Linked DNA regions of Notamacropus eugenii. Each later gene encodes a partner of the first gene's protein in a complex. Links are inferred from orthologs where the notes say so. Each region holds a gene or a part of one and is shown on either strand. Other genes may lie near its edges.

What was found.
Region 2: LAMTOR4 (region 1) and LAMTOR3 share a complex: the UniProt entries of both Homo sapiens proteins name them as parts of the ragulator complex. The link is inferred for Notamacropus eugenii from reciprocal best matches to the Homo sapiens genes LAMTOR4 and LAMTOR3.

Annotation. Positions count from the first base shown.
Region 1 is NC_092873.1:80,612,459-80,620,025, reverse strand, and holds the start of LAMTOR4 (ragulator complex protein LAMTOR4), read left to right. Parts: upstream 1-4,507; 5' UTR 4,508-5,075; coding exon 5,076-5,078; intron 5,079-6,995; coding exon 6,996-7,076; intron 7,077-7,567. UniProt on the Homo sapiens protein: As part of the Ragulator complex it is involved in amino acid sensing and activation of mTORC1, a signaling complex promoting cell growth in response to growth factors, energy levels, and amino acids.
Region 2 is NC_092878.1:137,825,678-137,833,731, reverse strand, and holds the start of LAMTOR3 (ragulator complex protein LAMTOR3), read left to right. Parts: upstream 1-4,877; 5' UTR 4,878-4,971; coding exon 4,972-5,019; intron 5,020-6,098; coding exon 6,099-6,133; intron 6,134-8,054. UniProt on the Homo sapiens protein: As part of the Ragulator complex it is involved in amino acid sensing and activation of mTORC1, a signaling complex promoting cell growth in response to growth factors, energy levels, and amino acids.

The DNA.
Region 1 (7,567 bases):
TGAAGATGTAAGAAGAGTAAATGATATAGATTTGAGCCAATATATCCCAAAGGATATGGATGAGACTGGTATTACTGTGGCCAGTCTTCCAGTACATATACTTCAGCAGAGAAGGATGATAATAAATTGAGTGAAATTTTAGGAAATGGGGCAAAATGGAAAACAAAGTGATTTGGAAGAAAATAATGAAGAACAGGACAATGGAGTTATTGGTGCTATTTCTATTGATGAAAACCTTTTTAATGGAGAGGATTTGGATGAACAGGAAGAGGAATTAAACACACTTGATTTAAAGGAATGACAACAAGCAAGTCAGATAAAAAAACTGTCGGCTCAACATAAATTGAAATTGACTACATTATTTGTTTTCTCCTTTCTAGAATTCTTAAATAGGACCTTTTTGGTTTCTCACACTGATTTTGGGAGGGTACCCTTTCCTCAAAAAAAGAAAAAAAAAGGAGTATTCATTTCTATCACCTCTATTCTGACCCTGACTACACCACATAGTAAGTTTAGAGCAGGTCATATAATACAATGAAATATGAAGGTCATTACAGAAAAGATTTTGTAAATAATTGAAACAGGAAGTATAACTGCTTTTTCCCAATTTTTGAGTTTCATTGGACGTGTTATTACCCAGTACAACAAACATTTTGAAAATATCACTCATTTAAGCTTCATCTTTTAATGAGTGATTTGATTTACTTTGTATTTATCTTTAAAAAGACTTCTTAAAATAAAAGCACTGTACTTCATAAATAGACTACTTATGCAGATTAAGTATTGTGTTTCTTTGAATACTTAATTAGATGGACATTAAAGATGCAGTTTCTTTAAACTAACAGCATCATCTGGAATGCCTTCTTTCCTGTTTTAAATTTTCCGTCTGCCTTTTTTATTTTGTTTGCTAACAAAGTTGTAAATAAAGATCATCAAGTGTTAAAACAAATAAACTACTGGAGTGATTAGCCATTTTCTTCTCCAGTGCTCCAATGCTCTGGCATTGATGCTGTATCTTTGACAAGGTATGAACTCTTTTTGTCCATGTTGACCCTATTTACACTGTATTAATGATTATTGATTGATGATTCACAGCTAGTTTTTATGCCCAACATACCCCTTGGGTTTGTCTCTTAAAAGACACTTGGAAAAGATGGGGACAACTATGGCAGAATGCAGCATATATTTTACTGTGTTGAGATGTTTTTGCTTAACTGTTCAATTCTAGGGTGGGGGATATATATCTTGCAATGACTTTGATTTAAAAACAAAAGGTATCCATGAAACTTTTTTTAAAAAAAGAATACCTCCCCCTTTAAAAAAAAAAGAATAAAAGGGTGCTACACAGAGACTCCAGAGACTAGAAACTGAGGTCACACAGACCAGTGAGGCAAAGAAGTACAGTAGAATCTTGGTTTACAAATTTAATTCATTTCCAGATTCTGTTCATCATGTGATTTGTTTGTATTGCAAAGTGAATTTTCCCATAGGAAATAATGTACAGTCATGTCCCGGCCTAATTGCTGTGGGCTGCCCGAGTCTTCTTACCTTAGTCCAGGTATTTGGTGGCTAGCTGGATAAACGTATCGAGAGAAGAGACTTTCCAGAGTCAAACAAGGATTAGGCTTTATTCAGGATCTTGGTTACATGTCCATATGCAGGCGAGTTCTTCCCCAGGAGAAAGGAACCCCCCTCTTCCTCAAGGAGCAAGGATCACACAGCGAGAGGACGGGGGTGGAAGAAGGGAGGGACCCCTGGGAGGGACCCCCCCTCAGGCTTTCCCCGTCCCCACTTAAGCTCTCCCAGCTGCATACTCCACACATGGATACCGTGCATGCTCTCAGCCCCTAGCTAATCAACAAAAAGGTGTGCTCAGACCATGGACCAATTTCAAGGGTGCGATGCTCTCCCCAGCAAGTTTCCACTGAGAAGAGGTGGAGAAACAAGAAAGCTCGAGTCTCACTCCTCAATTCCCAGCTGTTCCCTGGGGAGCCTCATGAGAGCTCGCAATCAAGAAGGCCTCATTTTTACCTGCCCAAAACCATTCACGTGAGAACTGAGCTTACACCCCAACACAGTCAGATGATCAGTACCACAGCCCCAAAAATAGTCATATAAAAATAACTATTTTTAATTTTAAGTAATTTTTTTTTGTCCCTAATGCTCCTGAACTACAACAGCAATGATTAGTACACAATATAAACTGAAAAGAAAACAAATTAGCCTGCACTTTATCTTGGAGAAGAGTTGTGGCTGTCGAGAGGGCCACGAGAGGGAGGAAGGATTATTGCTTGGAAGGAGAGACACTGAGGATTTCAACGTCCAAAGAGTTCTCTCTTATGCTACTTTCACTAAAAAGTAAGACTAACACTACTGCCTTCACTTATTTTTCATTTTTTAGAATCACTTTCATGTTTTGACTCACTGATTTTTTTTTACATTCACTTCTGACTAGGAATATATCTAGACAATTGTTTTTGACATCTTTTAAGTAATTTATTTATTTTCAGTTTTCAACAGTCACTTCCATAAGTTTTAAGTTTTCTTCCCCTCCCTCTCTCCTCCCTTCCCAAGAGGGCATGCAATCTTATATAGGAAAAAACCCTAGTTGAGTGTCATCCCTTCTGGAGTCGTTCAAGTCCAAGTATGATGTTCATTCATACTATGAATTTCTGTTCATCCTGCAAGACAAATTTTGCAAAAAATTTTTCCTCGTCCACTGAAGCATAAGTAAACTAGGTTACTAGTAAACTGAGATTCTACTGTATACAGATTCCTTTCCTGGGAGGAAGATCTGCAAAATCCATGTAGCCTCTCCAAGAAACCATGTGAGGCCTCCAGGAAACATTATGTTCACGCCTGATAAAGAGGACAAAGCAGTAGAATTCTTGGATCACACCTAGACCAGGGGTTCTTAATTTGGGATCCATAAATTTGTTTAAATTTTTTTTTTGGTAACTATACTTCATTATAATTTATTGTCTTTGTAATCCTATGTATTTCATTTTGTGCATTAAAAAATATTATTCTGAAGAGTCCACAGGCTTCACCAGATTGTCAGACACAAAATGACACACACGTAAAAAATCTGTGCAAAAAAGGTTAAGAATTGCTGGTCCAGATCAAGCAGAGGCATTCCTGAATAGGAGAATTCCTGGACCATGCCAATTTTCTGGATCAAGTAGAATTCCAGGATCACAGAGAAGTTCTTTGAACAAGCAGGAACCTCATCCCCGGATCAGCAAGGGATGGAGACACAGTGAAGGAGACACCTAGATCACCTTCTTCACTGGTAATGTGAGTTATGTGGACTGTGCAGGTCTTGTAGAAATATAGTAGCTTCCCCAACCTGCTAAATGAAGAAGCCCTAGGGAAGACTTGCAACTGTGACTGAACCCCCCTTTTGCTACTGATACGGAGTCAAAATATCAACTAAATACTAGTTCCCTAGGCATTCCCCCTCCCTTCCCTAGAAGGATCAGTACTTACACCCCAAGTCTGAGCTCCCTGCTTCCTTGTTTTTCTCCCTCAACTTGTAAAAGATTTTATTTTTTAAATTTATTTTTCGTTACATTTTAAGTTTCAAATTGTCTCCCTCCCCCCCCCCCCCACCTTGCACTAGAAGGCCACCATTTGACAAAGAAAAAATCTCTATCTCTATGTCTTTACATATACACACACATATGTAAAATTGTACTGTGTATACTTCTATTTATCAGTTCTTTCTATGGAGGTGGATAGCCTCTACCTCCATGGGTCCTTTGTAGTTGATTTGAAGATTTGTAATACTCAGAATGGATTAGTCTACTCATTCACAGTTATTCTTCAAACAATATTGCTGCTATTGTATACAGAGCTCTCCTGGTTCTGCTCATTTCACTTTTCATTATTTCATGCAAGTCTTTCCATGTTTTTCTAAAATGAACCTGCCATCACTTCTTACAGCACAGTAGTATTCCACAAGCTCCCTGCTTCTTGCCCCCAATGTCTGTTCCTATTTGACAGTGATGACAAACCTATAAAAACCCAGCCTGCTTCACCTGTATGGGCCACTTGACTCCCCCAGGACCCAAGGGCCTGTCCTGTGTTCATCTTCTCTCATGATCCCTTTGTTTTGTATTTCCCCTCATTTACTAAAATTTACTCTTTTTTTTTTTCACTTTCTTTCTATCCTCTCCTGTCTTGTGCTAAATTTTGTATGGTGCCACTGCACCTCCCAGCCTCTCCAGGTCTCTTCCCTAGAAGCTTCAGCTATCATACAGAATAGTCACACTTCAATCTTAAGTCTTTGACTTAAGGAATGTAGAACACGAGAGACTCGCCGGCATGAAGACTGTGACTAGGGGTCCCGAAGAGACTAGACTGCCTCTTGGGTTTTTCGCCTGGCAACTATGTAGCAGATAAAAGAGACTGTAGCGGTGTCTGTGCTGCTAGTGCTCCAGACCAAAGAAATCGCACATTAATAAGAGTTGTGAGGGACGGAGCACTCAGTCACTACAGGCTGTCTATGGTCGGTGGTAAATAGAGGTGGCTGGGTGGCGCCCGGGGCAGCGCTGTCCTGCCCTGGAAAAGTCACTTAACCTCTGCATAAAACCACCTACTTTCCAGGGCAAATTAAGTTAATATATAAAAGTCCTCTGCAAGCCTTAATCCGTTCCTATAAGGGGGCTAGGGCTTTGTACAGTAAAGAGTAATCACCCTAAAGCCCTAAGCAGCCTCGAACCCCGATCTCTGGCTCCTCAGAGAACCCCGCCCGCTTTCCTCCCCTTCCCCAAGCCCAGCCAATCCTGCACAATATTGCGGGGGAGGAGGTGAGGGGGAGAAGGAGGAACGAAAAGAACGAGCTTGCGCGGCCAATCGCCGGCCTGGGGAGAGGGGGCGTGGAAGTAACGCGGATAGGTTGAGTTTTGAGTGGCGTGTCGATTGCCCAATCAACGAGTGGTGTGAATGGGGGCCCAAGTCCCTACGGAAAGGAATGGTGGGGAGTAGGGAGGCCACGTCCCGGCACGTGATATAGGTGACAACCCGGAAGCGACCCCACTTTTTGCCAGCTTTCTCCGCACCTACGGCTTGAGATGGTGAGAAAGCGATGGCGCATGCGCATTGGTTTCCCCTTCCTTTTCTTCTCTCTTTCTCCCCTTCTCCCCCTCCCCCCAGTGCAGCGCCCCATGCCCCCCCAACCGCCCTTCAAAGAGGTGGCCCCGGGGTGTCGGGCTTGGGGGAAGCGGAGGCGGCGGAGGATGCAGGGGCCTGGGAGTGGAGGGTGGTCGGGTCTGGTACAGCTTCGGAGGGGAAGAAAAGGGGCCGGGGAGGGGTCCCCAGGAATGGGGGAGGACGGCGTGGGGAGGTGGTGTCTCCCCTGGGAGCGATGGGAAGTGGGCTGTGATTTTAAAGGGAGGAGGAGGCCGAGGCGGCCAAGGGCCCGTAGGGATTCCAGGCTGTCCAGGGTTTCCTAGAACAGAAGCTCTTTGAGGACAGGACTTGAGACTTTGTCTTTTCAGTTCCTGGCACATAATCACCGCCTAATGAATAAATACTCGTTGGTTTGGAGACTGGGGAAGGGAGAGGGGGAAAGAAATCCCTTTATATTTCATGTGGATAGTTCTGTCCCTCCTCCTTCTCACCCTCTCCTGACTGCCTCTCCCTCCCCTCCAAGAAAGCTTCTTGAGGATGCAATATGTTTCCGTTTTGTCTTTGCTAGTAATGTGTCTAGCAGTCAATTTATCAACAAACATTAAGTAATTAAGGGCCTGCTTTTCCCCAGCTGCTGGGGATAGAAAAAGGAAACAGACCCTGCGCTCAAGGGACAGACTTTCTTTTGGGGAGGATAAAGTGACACATACATAGTAAATTAAATGTAGAATATAAGGAATTTCTAAAAGGGAAGGCCCTAGCCACTGGGGCAAACAGCATAGGTTTCTTGTAGGAGGTAGCGCTGGAATCGAGTTGTGAACAAAGCTGGTGTTCTATTAGGAGAGAGTTGTCAGAGGAGGCAGTGTTGTGCAGTGTGATGAATGCTGGACCTGGAGTCAAGACCTCCATTCAGTTACCCACATCTCCCAGGTTTCTTTCCATACCTTGGCTCAGTCTTTCTGGGCTTCATTTTCATAATTTGTAAAATGAGGGGGTTGCAAAATAAAGTGTCCAGCTCTAAATAGATGACCCTATGACCCCATGACTGCATTCTAAATAAAAGCCCTCAGACTTAGTTGAAAAGGTAAATGATGTGCAGTAATCTCAGAAAAGTAGGCTGGAGCCAGATTGTACAACTTTAAAGAACTAAGGGAGGAGTTTGCATTTTACTTCAGAGGGAAAAGGAAGCTGTTGGAGCTTCTGAGCAGAAGAGGGATGAGGTCAGATCTGTGCCATAGGACCATCAATTTGGCAACTTTATAGAAGATACATTGGAGAGGAGAGCCTTGAAGCAAGGAGATTAGAAAACTTAACTCATATAAGTGAATTAAATAAACTTTTGTTGTGGTTGAATTAGCACATCAAGGAGAGCGAAAGATTTGAGGTTGTGAGTTGAAAAGAAGGAACAGGAATCTGAGCATTTAGAACATGAAGGAAGGAAATAAGGCACTTGGGCACTGAGTAGAAAGAAAGTGTTGGGTATCACAGCATGGTGAAAAGCCAGCTGAACTGAAAATCAGGAGAGACTTCAAATTCCATCTCTGTCACTGTGAGCGGACCCTTAACTTTTCTTGATTCTGTTTTCTTATGTTTAAAATGGACATAGTAATTAACCTGTGGTAATTACTCTCTACAGGGTTGTTGTGAGGATCAAAGGTGCTTGCAGAACCCTACATAAATGTCAGCAATTATTGTTTGTCCTAGTCTAAAGTCTTGGCAAGATGGGGAGATGTGTAAGGAAAATAAGAGGTGTAGCATCAGCAGCAGGAGGAATAGAGGTTTGCAAGTAAACAGGAAAGATCTCAGTCTAGCTCTCTTTCCTCTGATTTTTCCCATCTCATAATTTACTGTGCTTCTTCTAGACATCTGCATTGACTCAGGGGCTGGAGCGTATCCCTGACCAGCTGGGCTACTTGGTACTGAGTGAAGGAGCCGTGCTGGCGGTAAGTCTTGGGGTGAAAAGTAGAAAGAAGATGACCTGATCCTTGATAGCTCCTTCGTGATTTATGACCTTTCCATTTATCTCTTCTTTCCTACAGCTTCTCCTAATTTGAAATATGTGCTGTAGTTTTATCCATAAAGCATAAATCCGTATCCTTAAGCTCCCATGGATTTAACTATTGTTTCTGTGCAGATGACTCCCAAATCTATTCATCTGTCTTGTATGCGTCTCCCATCACTAACTTCCTGTTAGAAATTCCCCCCTGCATAGTCTGTAGGAATCTCAAGCTCAGCAAGTCCAAAAAAAACTCATTATCTTTTGCCCTAAAATCTACAACTCTTCCTACTTCTCTGTCTCTGCCAAGGGAACTATTATTCTTCCATTTATCCCAGGTTCAGGACTTAGGAGACATCAGTGGATCTTTACTCACTCTCACCCATCATATCCAGTCAGTTGCCAAGCCTTGTCAATTCTTTGTCCTAAATATCTATC
Region 2 (8,054 bases), on another chromosome or scaffold:
ACTGGGGGCTGAGATTCAGATGAACTGCTCCAAACCCTGAGGGACTTTAGGCCGGGGGTGGGGGGGGGGGTGGGGGGGAGGGGTGGGGGTGGGGGGGTGGGGGGGGTGGGGGATGGAGGGGGGGGTGCCTAAAGATTGAGATCAGCTGTGTGAGATTAAGATGACCTGCTCAGGTGGGGGCAGGCCCACCATACAGGGCTCAGTTCCCTCAGGGGGTTTATGATGAGACCTTCAACAATGGGTTCAGGCTACTGCCTGCTTTGGGAGCCTTGTCCGCTGCTGCCTCTACTGCTGCCTCCTGAGGAGGCCCGAGTTATGGGGACACCCTGCTCCCTTCTTGGCCAGCAGAAAAGATGCACTCACTGACCTTTGGAGCCTGTGTGTTGAGGGATCTGTGCTGCCACTGAAGATTCTGTCCCTGAAGCCTGCTTGGATCTGCTCCTCTTGGTGCCCACGTGGCCAAGGCTGGGCTGGGCTCTGCTCTGCATCCTGTGTGCGACAGACCTTTCCCATTGATCTTTCAGGTCACTCTGGGATAGAAATCTCCTCCACTCCATTGTTCTGTGGCTTCTGCTGCTCTAGAATTTGTTGAGAGTTCTTCTTTACAGGTATTTTATGGGCTGTGTGGTAAGAGCTAGCATATGTGTGTCTTTCTACTCCACCATCTTGGCTCTGCCCCCCAAACTTACTATTTATTGAGAAGAAAACAGGAGTGGTAGAGGACATTTCAGGTATGTGGGATAATACTTGTCAAGTAAGAGAGAAGCTGTTAAAACTTCAAAACTTAAGCCATAAAGAAAATCTGAATGCAATCCACAAATCAGTTGCATAATAGGTCAAAGCAAAGAAACAGTATTATTGCAGTGGTAAGAGCACTTGGTTTGGAGTCACAGTCCTGGTTTTGCCACTTCTTACATGACCTCTGACAAGTCACAACCCGTCTGGACCTCAGTTTCCTCATCTACAAAATGAGATTGATTCAGATGATCTGTAAGATTCCTTCCAATTCTGAATCCATCAATCTTTTGATCCTGCAAGATAAAAACAAAGATGAGAAATGAATGTTCCTGATCTTCATCGAACTTACAGTCGAAAATGGAGATTAAACATTTGCAAGTTAGAAAATGACAGTGCACTGGGAAAGTCAAAGATGTGACCCGAGAGAATCAAGGAAGGAGAGAGGCCTACTAAGGGAAGGAATCATGGAGGATGTCCTAATATGTCACCTTAGGATTTTAAGAAGATTGGTGGAGAATCACCACCAGAATGTGGTGGTACGGAGAAAGCATTGAATTTGGAGTCAGAGATAGAAATTGTACTGGCTATTCCTTACCTAGGTGACAGTAGGCATTTCCGACCGTGGTACCTTGGGAAAAGTGATGTATTTTAAGTCTGAGAAGCAGGCTTAGAATCTCAGTGCTGTCACTTAATGCTTGTATGACCTTTTGTGTAGCAAAGCACTGTTTGAAATCAAAGGGCAATAATTAGCAATAGGTATTAATAAGACTTTTTGTAGAGAGTGGTCCTTGACTTGGGTGTTAAAGGATGAAGAGGTAATCAATAGTCACAGTGTACAGGCAAAGTCAAAAACTGTCTGAGAGATTCAAGGAGGGAAGGGGCCTTCCAAGAGAGGCCAGAAAGGAAGGGACCATGGTGGATACCTATTATGTCAACTCAACTCAGTGGTTAGAGAGAGCACTGTAACTTCCTTAGTTCTCAGTTTCTAGCGATAAGGTGAGGGTTGGACTATATGGTCTGTAAGGAAGGTCTCTTCTGTCTCTAAGCCTATGGTTTATCATTTCTGCACAGCTCCTGAACAAGATTTTCAGCTACCTAGAGGGAATGTTTACCTACTTGTCCCACCAATATCCCAAACTCAGCATGTCCACAAGTTCTGGTTCCTACTAAGACTGTGTATGACCTTCTGTACCTCCCTTGACATAAGGCAAGAAAGTAAAGATTGGGATCAAACTGTACAGTTGGTGTTATTATGGACATGTTTGAGCAGAAAAATGACCTAGGCATCGGATGATAGATGGTGTGGAGCTGGGGGAGAATGGAAACGGAAATTAATTAGGAGTCTAAAAGATCCAGAAACTCAAAACCTGAATTATTCTCTACAGTATAGCAGAAAGAAATGTACTTACTCTGCCACTAATCCCTCCTACAGAAAGGCTATTACTGATACCCTCTTCTTGAAGAAGTATCTTGGGTTCCACAGGTTCAAGGTCTTTTCCTTTGAAAACAAGCAAAGCAAAACACAGCAAGCCTTTGTGAAGCATAAAATCCAATTCAAACTGCTTTAATAATTGAAAAGTAAAAGCACATAATAGGTGAGTAAGAAGGGTATCAGAGACAACTCTCCTGAAGACACTAAATCAGGAAATGAAAAAAGCCACCAACAGGCAGTCTGACCTCCAGAAAAGCATTAATGACAACCTTCCCTTCTTTCCCCTCCCAGTGTGTAAAACACCTCCAAGGTGGGGCAGGAAAGAGGACCAGCTGTGGCTACAATAGGAATCCATCCAAGCTCTTATTACATACTTTCAAAATATATTTTAAGTCTATTTTTATCTCTACCTTTTGTCTCCCTCACAGAACATAAGGCCCTTGAAGTCAGGCAGTTTCCTTTATTTTTCTTTTAAATATGTGAAGCCCAAGCATCTACTTAAAAGTACCAAAATAGATTCACCTTATCAGCTGACTGCTTGATCATGTGACCTTGGACAAGTCACTGAACCTCTCTGGGCCTCACTTTTGGCATTTATACAAGAAGAGGGCTGGGCTCCATGGCCCTACAGTTCCTTTTAGCTCTAGTCTAGGCTTCTTAATCTGAAGTACCTGAATTAAAAAAAAATGTTCCCGAAAACTCACTTTCAACATTTAATTCAACAAACATTTATCAAGCACAAAATTATGTGCCAAGCACTGGAGACACAAAAAGAAGCAGAAGACAATATCTGCCCTCAAGGAGTTTATAATCTAATGGAGGAGACAGTATGCAAACAAATACAGAGCAACCTATATGATTTAATTCCATGAACATTTATTAATTACCTGTCATGTGCCAGGAATACTGCGAAGCACTGGGGATACAAAAAGGGGCAAAAGACCGTCCCTATCCTCAAGAAACACAATCAAATGGAGATACCACTCAAATATATATGTATATACACACATATATGCATATTTGCACATATACTTGCACACATATATACACATAAATACATGCATGTATGCACACCACACATTTGTGCACATACACGCACACACAAACACAGGTATGTATACACAGTGTGCACATACTTGCATACATGCACACATATAAACATGTGTGCACGCATACATTTGCACAATGAATATATACACATAAACACATGCATGTGTATACACACGTGCACAGATACATATACATGCATGCACACACGAACACATATGTACACACTAGACACATGTGCATGCATATAAGCATGTATATACACACATACATTTACATAATGCATATATACCATACATATAAACGCACATGCACATACACATACATATTTGCACACATACATATACGCATGCATACAAACACATGTATGCATATACATACACACATACATATATTTGCACAATACATATATACACACATATATGCATATATACATATAGATTTGCACACACATGCACAAACACATGTATGTATACACACTATATACACATATGCGTGCATATAAACATGTATGTGTGCGAGCACACATATATGCACAGTACATATATACACACATATAAACACATGTATGCATATACACTATATGCACACATATTTGCACAATATATGCATGCACATAAACACACATGTATATACATACATATACTTACACAATACCTATACACACATACATATAAACACACGTATATACACACATACATATATACACATACTTATAAACACATGTGTATATGTATATACACATGCACATATGTGCACACATGCATATATACACACCTGCATATATATATACATACACACATTATACATATATGTATACATCAGCCTCCATGCAGGATAAGAAATGAAAGAGGGAAAGCTTTCCCTAGTCATCTCATGAATATTTTATGCATTAAAAACATGACTCTGACAGGGGTCCAAGGCTTTCCCAGATGGTACATGATGGAAAAAAAAAAGTGAAGGTCGAGGATGCTTCCAATTGGACATCTAAGGCGTGGTTTTCCTGACGCGCCCCTTGGCATCCAGCCAGAGGGACTGCAACATTTTAGCAAACTCCTTCAATGTCCCTCCCTGGATGAGTAGGAAAGAGACAGGCGCATGCGCCGCATTCTGCTGAGAGGTGGGAAGAGTAGGGAGAAAGGACGAAGGGGGCGCATGCGCAGAACTCCGGGGCGGGCTGAGGAGCGCAAGGGGCGGGTCTGGCGCATGCGCAGGACTCCGCGGGTGGAGGAGGGGAAGAAGAAGGGGGCAGGCCTTTTTTCGTGGCAGGTCCCCGCGGGCAGCGGGGCCAAGGAAGCCGCTTCCGGTGTCCTTACCCCTTTCCCCGGAAGCAGTGTGTCACGGGGCCAGGGCTCCGACCGAGCTTCCTGAGAGAGCGATAATCATGTGACCGCGGGTTCCAGAGGAAGCGGCTGAGGCGGTCGGAGCTACCTGCGGCGGCCCCGGCAGCCTGAGCCAGGTAGGCCTCGCGGCCTGACGGCGGGGAGGGGCGGCCGCTCTGGGATGGGGGCGGGGAGGCGATCCCGGGCCCGCCCCGCTTCACTGGGTGTTTCTCTTTCAGGTGCGGGGAGCGTCCCGGCGGGAGGAAGGGGCTCATCATGGCGGATGTGAGTGAGACCACCCCCCCCCAGCTGGGGGAGGGCCGCGCGGGGGAGGGAGGCGGGGGACGGAGCCTGGGAGGGGTGACCTCCCCGCCGCAGGGACGCCCGGGGCCTCCGCCCTGCGGGCCGTGGGGCACGTCCCCTTCCCCTGGGATGGTGCCCCTGAGCCGGGCCCATAGTCGGTGCTCCATAAGTGCCCAGGTGCGTACAGCAGGCGCTTTACAAAGGTCCGTTCCTGTCCCCGGCCCGGGGCTCCCGGCGCCCCCGCACCCCCGCACCCCGCCGTGCCTTGGCGCAGCTCAGATCCTCTTTAACCGCAGGAAGCCCCCGCCGCCCGACAGCACCGGGCAGTGACTTATGTAGCCCGGTGGTCGGTCCGACAGGCGCCGGGGACAGAAAAAGAAGGCGTGTGTCCTGTTGGATTGGAGCCGGAGTGGTCGCCGTAGGGTCCCTTGGAGCTGGGCAGGGTCAGATGAGGCCATGCGAAGGTGTGCTGGACTTGGGGCCGGGGCAGGGAGGTGGCGTGGAGCCAGGCAGACTCACCTAGCCGAGCTCCAGTCCAGCCTCAGGTGCTTGTGGGCCGGGGGACCCCGGACAAGGCACTTCACCCTGTCCGCCTCAGTTTCCTCGTCTGGAACATGAGCTGGAGAAGGAAATGGGAAGCCACCCCACTATCCCTGCCAAGAAAACCCAAACAGGGTCATGGAGAGTCAGAGGGCACTGAACACCAGCACACCTTGGGCCTGGCCTTGGCTGGCTCTGAGTCAGCAAGTTTCTTAACTTCTTTATATTTCAGTTTCATCAAAAAAATGGCAGTGATAATAACTTCCAACACATAGGAGAGCTTTCTTGAGATTTGACCTGGAAGGTCCCTCCATCATGAATGATTTGTATACATGTAAACTATTGGTTTTTCCCTCTGGGTGGATATGATTGTAAACTTGAAGGTCAGGACCTTGTATTTCCCACAGCACTCTGCTTTTATGAGGTGTTTTATGATGAGGGATAGCAGCTTTAGGACAAAGCTGGTGAACTGGGTTCAGGAATTGTTGAGGCTTGTGGGAAGGATAAGAATAGGTTTGAACTAGGAATTGTTCAGGCCTGTGGGAAGTTCAAGAATGGGGTTTGAATTGAAACTTGCTTTAGGAAATTTAGGGACTCTGGTGAGGGAAGTTATGAAATACCATTCACTCAGATTTGAGGAACTCCCTAAGTGTTTGAAACTGTATTTTCCCCTTGTGACATCTTGTTACAACGTGACTTTATATCTCCTTTTCTAGGATTTGAAGAGATTCCTCTACAAAAAGTTACCAAGGTAAAGGATCAGTAGTGTCACCCTGAATTCTGAATCATAAAGTCTCACTTTGTTGCCACCTTAAAATAAAAACACCGCAACATTCGTTTCACTTTTAGATTCACTCTAAGGTAAAGCTTTTATACTGTGCTTGGAAAGGAAATGAAATTGACACACAGAAAAGACAGGAAAAGTATGATTCTGCTTGCAGATGTGCATGTTTTTCATTCTCATCATGGCCTTTGCTTCATATTTATGACATTTTTTTGTGCCATGCCAGCTTATTTCTCTTGTGGTGTTAGATGTAGTATTTATCAACTGAGCCTTTCTGCTTTTGCTAGGGAAGTTCGTCTGAGGTGTTCTACTAATGAGAAAGATTTGGATTTCTTTTATACTTTAAATTCAAATACAGTTTACCTATGCGCACATTTTTAAAAATAGGAAATAGAGACTGGAGCTGTTATGTGACATAGGAATTCCCAGACAAGGAAGCTCCCTTTACTAATGCAACTTCAGAAAGTTCCTGAGAGTTAGGACTGAGCTATCTGGTAACTAGATCTGTCTAGCTGTCTATCAGATCTACTGGATCCTGAGAGATAGGGAAGGAGAAAATGCCATGAGACATCACTTAACCCATTATGTGAAAATATTACATATAATTAAATTCTGACTTTATTCTTATACCACACATCATGGAAAAATTCTCTGGGTTGAAAAAACTTAAATGGTCAAAGGGGTCACAAGGGAATATCATAGTACCGCTTGATGGTGCAGTGGTCTGGGCTCAGGAATACTCATCTTCCTGAATTCAAATCCTGCCTCAGACATGTACAAGCTGTGTGATCCTGGTCAAGTCACTCACCCTGTTTGCCTCAGTTTCCTCATCTGTAAGATGAGCTGGAAAAGGAAATGACAAACCATCCAGTGTCTCTGCCAAGAAAACCCCAAATGGGGTCACAAAGGGTTGGGCAGGACCAAATAGCAGCAATGGAAATATCAGCATTTCTTCTAGGAAACAAACTGGCTGAGTCATCAATAAGGAGACTACGTTTTCTGCCTTCTGCCCTGTGCAATTTTGTCTAAGCCTCTTGCTCATATAGAAAACAGTAGTGCTCATTAACTGAGTTCTGTCCACTGTGTATGGATATAAAGGTAGAAGCTTCTAAGTTGCTTATTGTTACTGGACTGTAGTTAAGGGTTTTCTGTTGAAACATCTTTAATTAAAATCTTTCTAAAGACCTGATTTCCTATATATATATGTGTGTATATATATATATATATATATATATATATATATATATATATATATATATATATATATATATATATACATATATATGTATATATATATATATGTATGTATATTTATATGTGTGTACATATGTATACACATATATACACATGTGTGTGTGTGAGAGACTAAAATTTCTAAACATATCTCAGCTTCAGTTTCTTAAATTGTAAAAATGGGATAATAATAGCGCACACACATATTCCCTTCTGGCCCCCTTCCCCCTGGAGATATTTGCAAAACAGCACCAGAGTGCCTAACAGTAGGTCAGTTAAATAAATGTGTTTGTTCCCTCCTCTGTTAACCTTTAGGTATGGCATGTACATCAAATTGTAGTCATAGTGGTGATGATTTTATGCCTTAGCCTTCCTTGTGACTGGTCTAATTTAAGACTATTTTAATGCAACAGATCATAGTTGTGACAACAGGGTCACTTGAAAGCTAAACCTTGGACATGATAAAATTAACATTGAGTTAACAAGGCACAAACATCACCAGGGTGTTGAAATTTGAATTGTTTATACAATTTCAAAATGTAAATAACTGGTGGTTTCCAAATTATAAAATTTTCTTAAGCAATTGATCACTAGCTTAGGTTTTATTATAAATCTGTCAAATGTGGTCTTCTCTAGTTTGGAGTGGGAAGCTGGG